Tamandua tetradactyla: one gene and its partner. The protein of the gene in region 1 interacts with the protein of each later gene in a biochemical or structural test. Links are inferred from orthologs where the notes say so. Each region holds a gene or a part of one and is shown in the gene's direction. Other genes may lie near its edges.

The links. The genes of interacting proteins can lie anywhere in the genome.
Region 2: the proteins of ARL2 (region 1) and UNC119 form a complex in vitro, tested with the Homo sapiens proteins (2 studies listed by BioGRID and IntAct, with this or other methods). The link is inferred for Tamandua tetradactyla from reciprocal best matches to the Homo sapiens genes ARL2 and UNC119.

The regions. Positions count from the first base shown.
Region 1 is NC_135335.1:9,561,782-9,569,009, reverse strand, and holds the start of ARL2 (ADP-ribosylation factor-like protein 2), read left to right. Parts: upstream 1-4,214; 5' UTR 4,215-4,672; coding exon 4,673-4,737; intron 4,738-7,228. UniProt on the Homo sapiens protein: Small GTP-binding protein which cycles between an inactive GDP-bound and an active GTP-bound form, and the rate of cycling is regulated by guanine nucleotide exchange factors (GEF) and GTPase-activating proteins (GAP).
Region 2 is NC_135332.1:51,779,802-51,787,697, reverse strand, and holds the start of UNC119 (protein unc-119 homolog A), read left to right. Parts: upstream 1-4,892; 5' UTR 4,893-5,004; coding exon 5,005-5,230; intron 5,231-7,896. Other genes in the region: GPI-anchor transamidase component PIGS, read left to right, coding at 748-893, 1,536-1,636, 2,413-2,623, 2,988-3,263. UniProt on the Homo sapiens protein: Involved in synaptic functions in photoreceptor cells, the signal transduction in immune cells as a Src family kinase activator, endosome recycling, the uptake of bacteria and endocytosis, protein trafficking in sensory neurons and as lipid-binding chaperone with specificity for a diverse subset of myristoylated proteins.

The DNA.
Region 1 (7,228 bases):
AAAGAATGATATGGCAAATGTGGCAAAATGTGGATGTGGATATCTGGATGGGAATATGTTGGAGTTCTCTGCACAGGTTTTATATTACTTTAGCAACTGGCCTGTAGGTTGAACTTATTCAAAAATAAAAAGGTTTTTTCATTTGTTTGTTTGTTTGTTTGTGTTTGTTTTTTGCATGGGCAGGTACCAGGAATGGAACCCGGGACTCCGGCATGGCAGGCGAGAATTCTTGCCATTGAGCCACCATGGCCTGCTCCAAATAAAAAAGTTTTTAAAAATGGGAAACGTTATAAGGGTTACTATATTAAAATTTAATAAAAATGAACTAACTTTATTTTAAGCAACCAAATGTGATCATTTTAGTTTGAAAGACTCAAATAGAAAATTCCTTTTAGAGAAAGTGTAAAAAAAATTCTTTGGTATATATATACACCAAAGAATTTTTTTATATATATATATACAAACTTCTTGCTAATGCTTAACAATCAGCAATTATATTTAACTTGGGTCTTCTCCCTGGCTTTTGTTTTTTTCCGCCGGACAAAAGGGTTTTGGGGTTTTTCCTTGTTGACTATAAAGGTGATCTATGGAGTGGATTGGCTGGATCAAAAAGGCTATCACTTTTTAAATTAAAACTATAATGCCAAATTGTTCTCCACAGACAATGGCTAAAGCATGCCTTATAAAAAGATGCCCAGAATTCTATCCTCAAGTTGGAGCCCACATAGCTCACAAAAGTTCCTCCTTCAAAAGCAGGCTTCATAGCTGTCAGGATTTGGGTATTTTCATTTCAAGATTCTGTTTTGTGGGAGAAAAATTATATATATATATATATATATATACACACACACACACACATACATACACACACAGAGTTATACGTTATTATATAATTACAGCTCTATATATCTTCTTTCCCAGTTGTCTTCCAAAGGTATTCCCCAAAGATTTTATTTCTTTGAATTTTTTTCTTCTTCTCAAGAGGACAAGAAAAACACTGCCTGTGACAGTGTTTTATTTTACTTTTTATATTTTTATTGAGAAAGTTTTACACACTTACAGTCCATCCATAGTATACAATCAGTGGCTCACAATATCATAACATAGATGTTTATTCATCACCATGATCGTTTTTTAGAACATCTGCAGCACTCCAGAAAAAGAAATAAAAAGAAAAAAGAAAAACTCATATATCCCATTCCCCTCTCTCATTGGCCACTAGCGTTTCAATCTATGCAATTTTTTTACCCCTTTATTCCCCCCCCATTATTTATTTTTTTACTCATCTATAAATGCCCTGGATAAAGGGAGCATCAGACACAAGGTTTCACAATCACACAATCACACTGTAAAAACAATATCGTTATTCAATCATAAGAATACAAAAGAATAACCTCCAGGATAACCTCTCAACTCTGTACGAAATCTCTCAGCCTCTGAAACTTTATTTTGTCTCATTTTGCTCTTCCCCCTTTTGGTCAAGAAGCCTTTCTCAATCCCATCATGCCGGGTCCTGGCTCATTCCAGGAGTTCTGTCCCATGTTGCCAGGGATATCTGTACACCTGGGAGTCATGCCCCTGTAGGGGGAAGGGCAGTGAGTTCACTTGCCAAGTTGGCTTAGAGAGAGAGAGGTCACATCTGAGCAACAAAAGAGGTTCTCTGGGGTGACTTTAAGGCATAATTACAAGTAGGCCTAGCTTCTTCTTTGCAGGAATAAGTTTCTTAGGGGTGAAGCCCAAGATTAAGGGCTCAGTCTATTAAATTGATTGGTCTTCCTCACTGCTTGTGAGAATATCAATAATTCCCCAGATGTGGAAACTGACTATTTTCTCCTTTCTCCCCAGTTCCCCAAGGGAACTTTGCAAATGCTTTTTCATTCTTTGTCCACATTACTTTGGGATATATGGACTAACCTGCACTAACCTGCACCAACCAACAAGACCTCATGCCCTATTCAAGATTCCATGTAATTATGGTGGTCAAATAAACTGACCATACAGGTTAAATTAGATAATACACTACCCAAAATAAAAATTTTGCAACAAATAAACATATCTCCCTTTGGTTGCACACAGAAGTTGAAGTTTTAAAACATGGATGATATCATCCTGTACCCTGTATCCTGATTTACCTTAGTCTTGTTCAGATTAGCTTCATTCATATCTCTACTCAAAGCCTGATCCCTTTTTCAACTTTTAAACAGTATGGGGTACTGCTGACTTTCATAGCTTCAGAGCTCTAACTCTGAGTCTCAAGTGTCACATAAATACCCAAAATTTCTGGGAAGGACCAGGTTATACACAAACAGCTTAGTATTTTAGGATTTAGAAATAACAATTAAAACTCCAGAATGGATGTGGCTACTGTAAGAGCTCACAACCTAGGCCCCAACCTGATAACCCATGCTCCCAACTTCAATTCACTGAATTTGTATATTATAGTTAATCTATATCATGAGTGAGGCATGATAATATTTGTCTTTTTGTTCTTGACATTTCATTCAACATACTGTCCTTAACATTCATACACTTAGTTGCATGCCTCACAACTTCATTCCGTCCTGTTGTGTGTGTACACCACAGATTCCTTTCCATTCCTCAACTGTTGTACTCTTAGGCCACGTCCACCCTTTGCAAATCACAAACACTGCCGTCAGAAACACCAGTGTGCAAATGTCCCCACCTTCAGTTCTTCCAGGGACATACTGAGCAAAGGGGTTTCAGGATCATATGGCAATTCCACCCCTAGCCTCCTGTGGAACCACCACACCGCAGGGCTCCATTCTCGTCCTTAAAAGCCCCTCCACCTCCCCTGATAAATATCAACCTACAGGCAATTAGTAACCAGAAGCTCAAGACAGCCTTCCTGGTTTCACAGAGCTTGCAGGTGGCTTTTTCCATTGATGTTCACTGAAACCCTATGGTGTGTTCCCTGGGAAGCAGCTACATCTGCTTGTTGGAGGGCAGGACTTTGAGCCTGACATTTAAACAAGGATTTCAATGCCACCAGTAGCAAAGAAAAGCAATCTGGAAGCGATTAAGGTCATAACTTTATTCTCAACCCTACCCCCAGGTTAACTGTCACGCTGCAATGATTTTCAGGCTTTGAGGCCGTGACCCACAGCTAGAGGTACACACATCACGTAAATATGGAAATCAACCTTCTGGCAAACACTGCGTGGGGAAAGTTGGCCATGTTTTTCTCTTTGATTCATTCTACTGAAACTGACATGTTGTAGTCACAACGGTCAAATACAGGCAATTTCAGGTTTCAACCTATTTGTGACTATAAAGACTGCAGGAGGTTCAATCACCAGCTGCAATGTAGTTCAATTCTGATTTCCTGGGTGTGATGTTTAGGTTCAGGTGTCAGCCTGACCAGGTGATGATGCCCAGGTGTCTAGTTAGGCAAGCACTGGCCTGACCGTTACTGTAAGGATATTTCATGGCTGGCTGATAAACCAGAAGGCTGGTTAATTAAATCATCAGTCAGTTGACTGCACCTGTGACTGTCCTTAGTTCCAAGGAGCTGAGTTCTACTTTCTCCCCTGCTATAGCACTTAAATAACCTCACGTTGTCCCGTGCAATTTTTTTTCCACGCGTCCAAGCTTCCTAAACTCTTTGGACTCCATTAGCACATCTACAAAAAGGAGCAAGCCCTCTCAAGGCAAATGGAGCGCATTGCGAATGGAGTTACCTTGGGCTGGGGCCTGAAGATTCCTTCCCAAGCATAAGGCGGGGCTGGGCTACTTGCTCACACTGCCCCAGTAGCCGGCTGGGGGGAGAGCTCAAAAGAAGACCATAAGGCTCCTCCATCCCAGTCGACAATCTGCTGGGTCCCTGGCCTCAGTGTCCTCAATTTTGCTGGCCCTCTTGAGTGCTAAGACTCTTAGACAAAGTCATTCATTCCACCGTAAACATTTACTGAGCACCTACTGTCAGCCAGCCACCGTGCTAACCACCATTCGGGTCTCAACTTTGACATCTGCAAAAGGAGGGATTGTGCTTCTCAAAAGCAAAGCTGCCGGCATCTGGAGAGGAACAATTCTTCCTCGGCCGGGTCTGTTCCCAGCACCACGGGACGCTTGGTATCCCCGCCCCGCCGCCCTCCAAACGCCAGAGACACTCCCCCGGCGCTGGGACAACCCAAAGACTACTAGACATTTGGAAAAGGCCCCTAGGGGGCAATATCGACCCCCGATTAAGACCCGACGGCCCACCCTCTCCGATTCCAAGAGCCCAGGAGGAGGGAGGCCCAATCCTCTGCTCCGGCACCGGCAGAATGAAGGATCCGGACCCGGAGCCGGGAGAACAGGGCCTTCTGCAGGCCCCAGGATGAGCCGGTCAACACCCTGGGCCTCACGGTTCTGACTTCTGGGTACTCAGCGGGTCACAGCCCTTTGCTGTTACTCCCCCACCCAACCAAGATCCAACCCGGGGTTTCCGTACGGCCCTACGGAGACAGGAACGGAACGCGAAGGGTTAAAGCTGGCGCCCACTCAGAAGCCCCCCCACCGGCTTCCCTCCGAGGTCACGTGAGAGCGTGGGCGGGACCAAGCGAGGACTGGCCAATAGGCTGTGCCGTCGGTGGGCGTGATGGCCAATAGGAGCATGATGCGGGGCTCCCGGGACTAAGGAAGAAACGGCTGCCGGGAGGGGGCTCCTAAGACCATGGGGCTTCTGACCATTCTGAAGAAGATGAAGCAGAAAGAGCGGGAGCTGCGACTGCTCATGCTGTATCCTCCCGGACGCGGGAGCTGCGAGGGTACCGAGGGCCCCCACCCACGACGGGCAGGCGCCCCCTATCGGGCGCGGGGTGCACGGCCGGGTGGCCGGCGCCAACTGCCCGGTGTGCGTCACGCACGTGGGCCCTACCAATCGCTTCCAGCGGGGGCCGGGAGAAGGCCGTACCACCTGCACGGGCGGAGGGGGGTGCCCCATTCCACAGGCCAGAGGTGTGGGCCTAAAAGCGGAGCGGCGGGACCCGGTGTCGCAGATGCTGGGGAACCTGGGGCCGGGAGGTGACTCGGACGCCGCCATCTGGCGGTCTGGCCCGAGCTCGGGGCCGCTGTCCTCCCCGGCTCCGACCTCCTCCCCCCTGTCCGAGGGTGTCAGGCCCCGGCCCTGCCCTCGAGTTCAGAGTCCCGGGGGCTCGGGCCCCGCCTTCAGGTCCCAGGGGAGGTGCGCGCGGGCCCAGCTGCCTGTCCCCTCGGTGGCCCTTGGTCGCGGGCCTTGCAGGCCGTGGGGCCCCGCTACCTGCCGAGAGGCGTTAGCAGGCGCTGACTTCGTTCCCCCTCCTCGGTGCCAGGCCCCCTACGGAGCCTGCGATCCGCGAACTGGGCCGGTCCCTCCCCGGAGCTCCCGGAGCAGGCGAAAGCAGACGTTTATGTGCGCTGATAGCTTAAAAAAAAAAGAATGCTCACGCCGTGTTTTTTTTTTGAGGGAGGGAAAAGCCCGAGAAGGGCACAGAGAATTTACTCAGGTATTAATGGAGCACCTATTCTGTGCTAGGTGCTGTCCTGGTTGCTGGGGTAAAACAGCCCAACGGGAACTTCTGCCCTCCTGGGGGTTATGTCATTCCTGGCAAAAGATGATAAAACAAAGAAGTGAAATCTAGTATGCATGGAGAAGAAAGCAGTTTAAAATCAGGTGGCCAAGAAAGGCTACATGGGGAGAGTGGGGGTTGAGTAAAGAAAGTTGTGACCCGGAGGGTATCTGGAGAAGCTGCACAGGCCTTGGAGGTGGAGCTCAGCTGGTGTGTTCCAGAGGATGCCAGGGAGGGCAGTGTGGCTGAAAAGTGAACAAGGTGGAAGGTCCTAGAAGATTAGGTCAAGGAGGTGAAGGGGTGGGCTGGGAGAACTACCCCATGGAGTGCCTTTGGGTTCTTGGCTTCTGCTGTAAGTGTTGAAGGGAACCACGGCAGGGTTTTGTGCAGGAAGGTATGATCTGACTTTGGCCTTGAAAGGATTGTTCTCAGTTTCTACTTTGATGATAATGGGATGCAAGGACAGTAGCAGGAAATCCAGTTAGGGGGCATTTAAAGATAATGCAGGCAAGGTTAGATGGCAGCTGGGACCGGGATGGAAGCAGTGAGGTGATGGAAGTGGAGAGGCATTTTGACAGGAGGGCCAGCAGGAATTGCCGCTGGGTTGGATGTGGGTGTGAAAGAGAACAAAGTCAAGCCTGACTCACATTTCTGGCCTGAGCAATTAGAAGAATGAGGAGCCACTTGCTGAGATAGAGAAACCCTGGAGTGGGGAAGGAAGGATTGGGCTGAAAGCTCAGCTTTGGCCCTGTGAGTACCTCTGTGCCATCCTAGCAATGTCAGGAGGCAGCTGTCTTTATGGACCAGTGTCCAGGGGAGTGGGTGGGCCTGAGGTATAGATTGGGGAGTCATCAGCATAAAGATGGTATTTGAAGTCATGATCCTGGATGAGCTGACCCAGGGAGGAAGGACAGACCGAGAAGAAGACTGAAGTGCACTTGCATCCAGAGGCCAGGGAGGTGAGAACCAGGTGAAGGCAAGCGCCTGAGCAAGGGCAGGACAGGACAGAGTCTGGAGGAGGGAGGGGGCCACTCCGAGGGGCACACGAGAACTGACCAGCCATTGGAAAGCAGTGTGGACATCACTGGGTCTGGCCATGGCAAGAGCAGTTTGGGGAACTGTGGGAGCAAAAGCCCAATGGGAGTAGGTTCTGGAAAGAGCAAGAGGACAGAAGTTGGAGACTGGGTGAACATTGACTCCTGTTTTTTTTTTTCTTCCAGGAGATCCACTGGAAAGAGAAGGGAGTAAAAGAATAGCTAGAGGGAAGAGGAATCAAGACAGGGTTTTGTTGGCCTTTTCTGTGATGAGAGAAACAGTGACTTTGTCAGCTGGTGGGAAGGATCCAGGGTAGAAGCAAGCATGGATGCTGGGGGGAAGGGTGGATAATCAAAGGGTTAAGGCTGGGCTCCAGGAGAGATCCTCTTATCACCCCAAAGTTTTTGGACTGGAGTCACTTGCCCAGGCAGCTGAGCCCAGGGCCTGCCCACTTCCACCCGCTCCAACAAGTCTCCTTCTTGTTGGAAGGAGAGACTAGGGTGCTTCTCCCACTGGCAAGCTAACCCATTCATTTGCACCTACTCGGCAGCAAAAGGGTCAGGAAATTTCATAAATAGGCCAACGGGGCTGCTCCCTGGTATTTGCTTATTTGCTGTTATAGCTCCTTGTGCCTAGAATGCCCTAAC
Region 2 (7,896 bases), on another chromosome or scaffold:
GGAGAGAAAGTGTGAACAAGGTGGGCCCAAGAGCTGTCATGCAGGCAAACAAGACTGAGTCTGTTGCTAATGGTGGGATTCCAGACACTAGAGGTAGGCCAGTGTGGACCAAGGGGCGTGGAAGGGCAGCACTTGAATGGCAAAATCTTTCTCCATTCATTCATTCAACAAACATTGGCTGAGGGACTGCTTCATGGCAGTGATGACTACAGAGATAGAAGAGGCTTTCAGGAAAAGGGAAGTTCAGAGTAGTTGAGTGTGGCTGAGCTGTGAGGGAGTGACCAAAGGTTAGGCTCTGGCAAGGCAACCAGGCACCAGATCATAAAGGACCCCATTAGGGAGTTTGAATTTTAACCCAAAATTAATGACTAGCCATTGAAGAATATTAAGCAGGGAACTGACATGAAGATCAGAGCTATACTTGTGCATAAATCTAGCTCTAGCAATATGGATACAGTGTGGCACTTGCCGAGAGAGCTGGTTTAGACAATCAAGGGCGCCTCTTAGAGGTGGGGGGATTTCTGGGGCCTTTTGGGAATAAGGACTGCAGTCTTTCCTTGTGGCAGACCTTGGGAGAGTGTTCAGAGGTCCTTTGCCACAGAAACCCAAGACTGGAGGGTATGGTAGAGATGGGCAGTTGGGAAACTGAGGCCCGAAGTGAGTGACTGGCACATTAGAGGCTGATCTGGAACTAAGCTAGGTCCATTGTGTTTTGGTGTTCTGTCTACCCTTCTCTCTGTGCCACAGGATCCAGCGCTGCTTCTCTTTACCCTGTGCTCAACTTTTTACTCTACGTGCCTGAGCTTGCCCACTCTCCCCTCTACATTCAGGACAAGGACGGGGCTCTGGTGGCCACCAATGCCTTCCACAGCCCCCGCTGGGGTGGCATTATGGTAATAGTCACACTGCATACCCCAGAACTCAAGCTTCAGTGACAGAGAGATGTTCCCTGAGACTCTTCCTTCTGTTGGTGGAGGAGGGGGAGGCACCAGCTATAGGCACCAAGGCAGTGAGGTGCTCTGTGCTCATTCCCTTCCTCAACCTGCCCCACTGTTTCTTATCTCTGTCAGTGTTTTATGTAATATGACCTTTTGCACTTACTTAGGACTATTCTGTGTACATTTTTTTTTTAAACATGGGCAGGCACTGGGAATTGAACCCGGGTCTCCAGCATGGCAGGCAAGAACTCTGCCACTGAGCCGCCGCGGCCTGCCCTTTGTATACATTTTTAATCTTGGCCCTATGTGTGGGAGGCTTGCAAAGTTGGGAATTTTTGTCTCCCAACTTTAGACTAGGAGTTCTTCATAGGTGAAAACTCTAAAATGAGATAAAAATATCATTTTACAGGTCTTTTGAGGGGATAATTGAGATAATTTATGTAAAGCTCCCAGTAAGTGTTAGCTGTAGCTTCTAAAGGACAGAGACTGTCCTTCCTTTCTCTGTGCACAGCTCTGCACATGGTCGCCAGGGGTGTCTGGGGCAGAACTGTGCACATTCCTGGCGTGATGGTGTGGCAACCTCATCCCTCCTTTCAGATATACAACGTAGACCCCAAAGCCTACAATGCCTCAGGGCTGCCGGTGAGAGTGGAGGTAGACATGGTGCGGGTAATGGAGGTGTTCCTGGCTCAGTTGCGGTAAGGTCCCGGGTGATCCACTTGGGGGCATGCCACTGAGAGTCTAGCGACAATCTCCTTGACTGTAGAGGGTGGGAATTTCAGATCAGAATGAAATCTCACCTGGCAGGAATACCTTGCTCGGAGAGGTTTCCAAAGATTGCATCTTCCTTTTCCTAAGAAGGTCTAGTTGTGGGACAAGCTCCCTTTTAAGAAAGGTAGACTCATGAATGTCAGGTCCATGAGGTGTGATTAGGGGTGCTTGAGGAAACAGCTGTTAATTCTTGTACTGAGTGATCGATGGATTCTACGGTTGTTTCTGAGTTCATCAAGAAAGAGTATTCTTCTGATCGATTAGCAGTGTCTACCCTGGGTGCAGAATTAGAGAGGCACTGCACCCAAGCCTTGTCATAGGTGGCCCTGGATCATCCCTTATCTCTAAGTCCCAGGGGCCCGTTTGTCCAAAGAGAGGGTAGAGAGGGTGAGGGGATTAAACTAAATCAGTATACTTGATCAGATATTTTTTAGCCATGGAACCTTTTTCAAGTAAGATCTTGGAAATTCATATATAGAAATAGGTAAAAGTGGAAACACTGGTTGAAGTAGGATTTAGGGCTCTGATTCCTGGGTTTTGCTGCTGACTCCCCAGACCCAGACCCTGAGGCACTTCCCCATAAGCCCTGTGGTTCTGAGTAAGGTCAAGAATCTGGCTTTGGGGCAGATATTTGAGGAATCTTAGCTGCCTTCTACCACTTTCTCGTATCAGCCATCTTGATCTTACTTTTCTCTTCCTGCAGGCTGCTCTTTGGGATTGCTCAGCCCCAGGTGCCTCTGAAATGTCTGCTTTCTGGGCCGAGGAGTGAAGGGCTAATGACGTGGGAGCTGGACCGGCTGCTCTGGGCTCGATCAGTGGAGAACCTAGCCACGGCCACCACCACCCTCACCTCCCTGGCCCAGCTTCTGGGCAAGATCAGCAACATTGTTATCAAGGATGATGTGGCATCTGAGGTAAATGGGCATGGGGTGGACTTTGTGGCCTCAGAATCCAGCGAGGGCCAGTGTGTGGTGAGACCAAAGAGAGCCAGTTCTCACATACCACCAGGGCATGTGTGGGCCTGCCATCCTTAAGTGCCTCAGTGGGCAGTACCAGCTCCACAGCAGGAGATGAAATGGGAGTATGAGATTTTGAGCAGGGAAGGAGGTGTTTGATTGAGAGGCACATAAATGGGGCTTGCCCGGAATGACTTGTTCGTCTCTAGCCTCCTCCACTGCCTCTAAGAAAATACCCCCATAACCTTTCACATACCTTATGCAAACTGTAGGCCCTGGTAGACAGAAGGCACACTTTCCACTGAAATGCTCCTATTTCTAGGTGTACAGAGCGGTAGCTGCAGTCCAGAAAGCGACAGAGGAGTTGGCCGCTGGACACCTGGCCTCTGCCTTCACTGCCAGCCAGGAAGCTGTGACATCCTCAGAGCGTGCCTTTTTTGACCCCTCACTCCTCCATCTCCTTTATTTCCCTGATGACCAGAAGTTTGCAATCTACATCCCACTCTTCCTGCCCATGGCTGTGCCCATCCTCCTGTCCCTGGCCAAGATCTTCTTAGAGACACGCAAGTCCTGGAAGAAGCCTGAGAAGATAGACTGAGCAGGACAACATCTCAGTAGGGACTCTTCTTTTCTGGCCAGGGTGGGAGGTGTTTGATTGAGAGACTTATAAAGGGAGCCTGCCAGGACGACTTGTTTGTCTCTAGCCGCCTCCACTGCCTCTCCAACAACCAAAGTACAGCACTCCAGGATGGGTTCACCTCTCCTCTTGTCCCATTTCCTGGGCTCCATTTTCCCCCATCACCCCACTCCTCAAAAAGTGGCATCATCTGGGTCTCCATATCTGACTTGAACTTGAAGGCCCCTGCTGACTTCTTTCTAGGCCAGGGGCAGCTTGTGACTCTGTCCTGTTTCTCAACATGGCACATTCCTCTCCTACCAAGAAGGCAATGTTAGGGGAAAGCCCTGGGTTCCTGGGTTGGATCCCCCGACTCAACACTTCTCTCTGATCCCTCCGGGAGAGCCCCAGCACTGCTGTGATGGAAGGGCCAGGCATAGGTCACTTCTGGGGCCTCCTCCCCTCCCGCCTGGCTGGCCATGCCTCTTGGTACAGCCAGATAAGAGTCCAGAAGACAGCAAGCAGCTCAGGACCTAGTGCTGTGTGTGTGGGAGAGATTCCATTCACCCACTTAGAAAGGCAGTGTGGTACAGTGAGAAAAGTTCTGGACTTGGAATTAAATAGGCCTGAGTTTAAATCCTTTCTTCTGCACTTGTCATCTGTGGAGCTTTTGATAAGCCACTTAATCTCTCTGAGCCTCAGTTCTTTGCCTGTTAAATGGCACTAATGATACCTCTTTCACTAGGTGGTTATGAGGATTGAACGAGGTAAAGCATATAAAGGTATCTGGCTCATACTAGGCTCTCAATAAACATTGGTTGAATATGAATTAGAATCATGTGAAGGATGGGTATACTTTGAATTCTTTCAATCACGTGTAAGTGACCGTTTCCTGGTATCTACCCTCCTGGGTTCACAGGCCTGCCTCACCTCCACCTGGCCATGTGCTTTGCCTGTCTCTGTTCTGTAGGGCAGGACACCTGGGTTGTTATCTCTCTGTGCATACTGGGTTGTCCAACAAGGCTGCTGCAGCTATTTCTGCATCTTAGCAAAGGCTCTGGGAGAGAATCAGTGAGTACTAACAAATATTAATTCATCAGTTAGTAAAAAGCAAATTTATAGAGCACTGGCTTTTCTGGACACTGCTTGAGGCTGGGGGTATATGGGGAATGAAGCAGACAGGTTCTGCTTTCACAGAGTTGATCTTTTAGGGAGAAGGGTCGGGGAGCAAGTTAAAATAACTTCAGGTAACTGTACTAGAAAGAAAAAACAGGCTGATCAGATAGCAGCTGGGGTGGGGGGGAAGGGTGTACTTAAAAGTGGGACTGCTGGGGGCCTTTGAGCAGATGGCATTTGAGCTGGGACCAAGTGGACAAGAAGAGACCATATAGGAGAAGAGCGTCGCAGGCAAAGACCCCGAAGGCTGGGACGAGCTTGATGGGTCAAGGGCAGAGTGACTGGCGCACAGCCAGGAGCTGTAGGGAGAACCCCCTGAAACATCTACCGAAAGAATGAAGCCCAGGGAGAGCGTCGATCCGCCGCGCCGCCCCCTTTCCGCCGGGCTGCGGCGGGTGGGCGGGGTTGGGTTGGGGCCCACCCCGGTGGAGGGGCGGAGCGGTACCTGGGGCCCCGGCCGGGGGCGGGGTTGCGGTCGCTCCCCTTCCCCGGCTCCAGCCGGCGCAGGCAGCGGTGGCGGCAGTAGGAGCCGCGGGCCTGCGAGGCCATGAAGGTGAAGAAGGGCGGCGGCGGCGCCGGGACGGAGGCGGAACCGGCTCGTGGGGCTTCGGGCCCAAACGTGGAGCCCAAGGCCGAGCCAAAGCCGCCGGCGGAATCCGAATCCGGATCTGAGTCAGAGCTGGAGGCGGGCCCCAGGCCCCGGCCAGGGCCGTTGCAGAGGAAGCAGCCGATCGGGCCGGAGGACGTGCTGGGGCTGCAGCGGATCACTGGCGGTGAGCGCCGGCGAGGGAGCGCCGCCCGCGGGCGCGAGAGCGCGCGGGCAGCAGGGCCCTGACGGCGCACGGAGCCCCGGCCCCCTTTCCCGCACCCGGTGCCCCTCCGCGTCCCCCTCCCCTACCTTTATGCCTCTTCCTTATGGCTCCAAGCCTGAGGTTCCACTGTCTCCACTTCCCTTGATTACCCTGGGAGTCCCTTCTCTCTTTTAAATGTTTATTTCTTCCCCACCGCTTTCTTTTTTTGAGAGTCCTATTCCCTTTCTCGTGATGGAGGTGGGGCAACAGTTGCAACCATAGCCCCTTACCCATGCAGTCCTCAAGAGCCCTTTGGGGCCTGTCCCCAGTCCCCGCCCCTGAAAAAATCGAGACCACCAAGGGCTTCCTGACAGCAGAACCCTCGCCGGAGATCGTGTAGGAAGGCTGGGGCCCCGGCGGCATCCCCCTGGCCTGGAGCAGAACTGAGCAGGACGCTTCCGTGGGTTGGCCCCCGTCCCTACCACGGAGTGGGTTCCTGCCTCCCCCCCCCCCCCGCCCCCCCCTCCAGCGAGGAGCAGGTTCTGTCTTCTACCTGAGGCACTCATGGAGCTGCGGGGAGGGTCTCCACTATGAAGTCTCTGAGCTGGACAGCTTGGGTGTGTTACAGCTTTGCCATGTCACTGGCTGTGTAACCTTGGGCAAGTAACTTCACCCCTCTGAGCATGTTTCTACATCTGCAAAATGGGGATAGTGGCTCCTACTTCATAGGGTTATGAAAATCGAATGCTCTGCACAGTGCTTGGCATGCTGTAAGTGCTCTGTAAATAGGACCTTTTTACCTACAAGCCTGAGGGCTCAGCAGAGCTGCTGCCTGGAGGCAGGCAAGTAGGCATTCAAAACAGAGGAACAAGTCACTAGGAAGCCTCATGGCAGAGTTGGTGGTTGAACTTTGAAGATTGGGTGGCATTCAGACAGGCAGTGGATCTGGCTCCCTCTGTCAGAGGGTGGGGCCAGGGGTCCCTCCCTGTGGGGATGGAGTGCAGGTGCTGGAGAGGACCTGAGCCCTGCAGCCTGGAGCTGCAAGTGCAGCATCTGTGGAAGGGCCATGATGACATGCCTGGGCTTGTGCACCTGGGCCCCTGAGGGCCCAGCTCCCTCCTGTCTGAGCCAGATAGCGGCCATTCTTGACTGGGCCCCTGGAGTGCTGAGCTCCTTTGCCCAAGTAGGCACTGCTGGAAAACCAGGCTGACGTCGGTGTCAATTGCAGCCCAGTTGGTAACAGCATCTTTGAAGATTCAGCTTAACTCTGGGGCAGAATTTTAGACGATGTCAGGAGGTCTGTCTGACCCGAGTCCTGGGGATGTTTTGCAACTTCAAAGGGCTTCCTGCCCACATCCCACGAAGTCACCTAATCTGGGGGGAAATTCATAGCCCTCAGAGATGGGGCATCTGTGGGCTGTGAGTAGGGGAAGTGGCTTCATGGGAGCCCTTTCCTCTGCAGAAGCTGAGAACCCCAGGGGATGAGAATGCTCTCAGGGCTCTCTGCCTTGGCACCCCCTTGTCTCTTCTGACCCTAATCACACTGGCCTGAGGTTAGCAGTTCCTGGATTATCAAACCCAGAATCCAGCTTAGGGAGCTATTTGTGGCTGAGGGGAAGGGAACAGTTGTGGTTTTAGCCCTCAGTCTCTTTGCCCTTTATTCTGGCCTGACCCTGGGTCCCAATCCTCATCACTCCCTGGCAGAAGGGAGGGAGTGGCTGTGGTATTCTGAGCCATGGGTGTCCCCCAATCTTCATTTCCTGTAAGGACAGAGGGCTTGGTATATCGAATTTACAGTAGAAGAGAATGAAGTCAGACTGCAAAGGTTGTTCCCCAGTGAAAAGCTGGAGAGTGAGGGGAAAAAGGGGAGCCTTACCAGGGGCTGGAAGTTGGACAACTAGAACTCTGCTTCCACCTCTCCCACGCCTCTCCCTAGGCCCTGTACCTTTTCTCTACATCTTTAGACTAGTGCTAACTTTCTATGAAAATCAGTAGGAGGAGGGGCTCCCTACTTCCGTCCCCCTTCCTTTACCCTCCAAGCTGTGATTGACCCTGCCCCAAGCTTTGTGTCCCACCCCACCCCCGCTGGGCCCCAGGCTGTCAGCAGAACTTGCTGGCGGGGTCTGCCCCACGCTTGGGAAGAGGCGAATGACTTTACATTCACTTCCTCTTCCTGTCCCAGAGGAATAGAAGATGGCCCAGGGGCCTAGAGAGTGATTTCCGGGGGATGGGCAGCCAGGGGAAGATGTGCTTTGTGCACCCCCACCCCCCACTGTGCCTCTCCTTCCTATTTGTTGCTAGGGCCTCTCCTAGCAGAGCACTTGAAGTTGCTGCTACAAGAGCAGGCCATGCCCCTCGTTGTTCCTGGTTTCCCTCCTGGGCCTGAGAACAACCCCCCACCCCCTACTGTCCCTGCCACACCTTCACCCTGGCTCGGCCTGTGCTTTTCTCTGTGGGGGCCAAGGTGAGGGAAGCTCAGAACCTGGGCTGGCCTAGATGATCTTTGAGGGGGTTCCCTCAGCTTGCTAAGATTTCCCCCTTTTGGACATCAACCAAGAGTGGGGTCAAAGTTGTTCCCCTTCCCCCCTCCACAGTTTTCCAGGCTCTTGGGCTTGAGTCAGCAGAGCTTTTGCTAAGCTGCTTAAGAG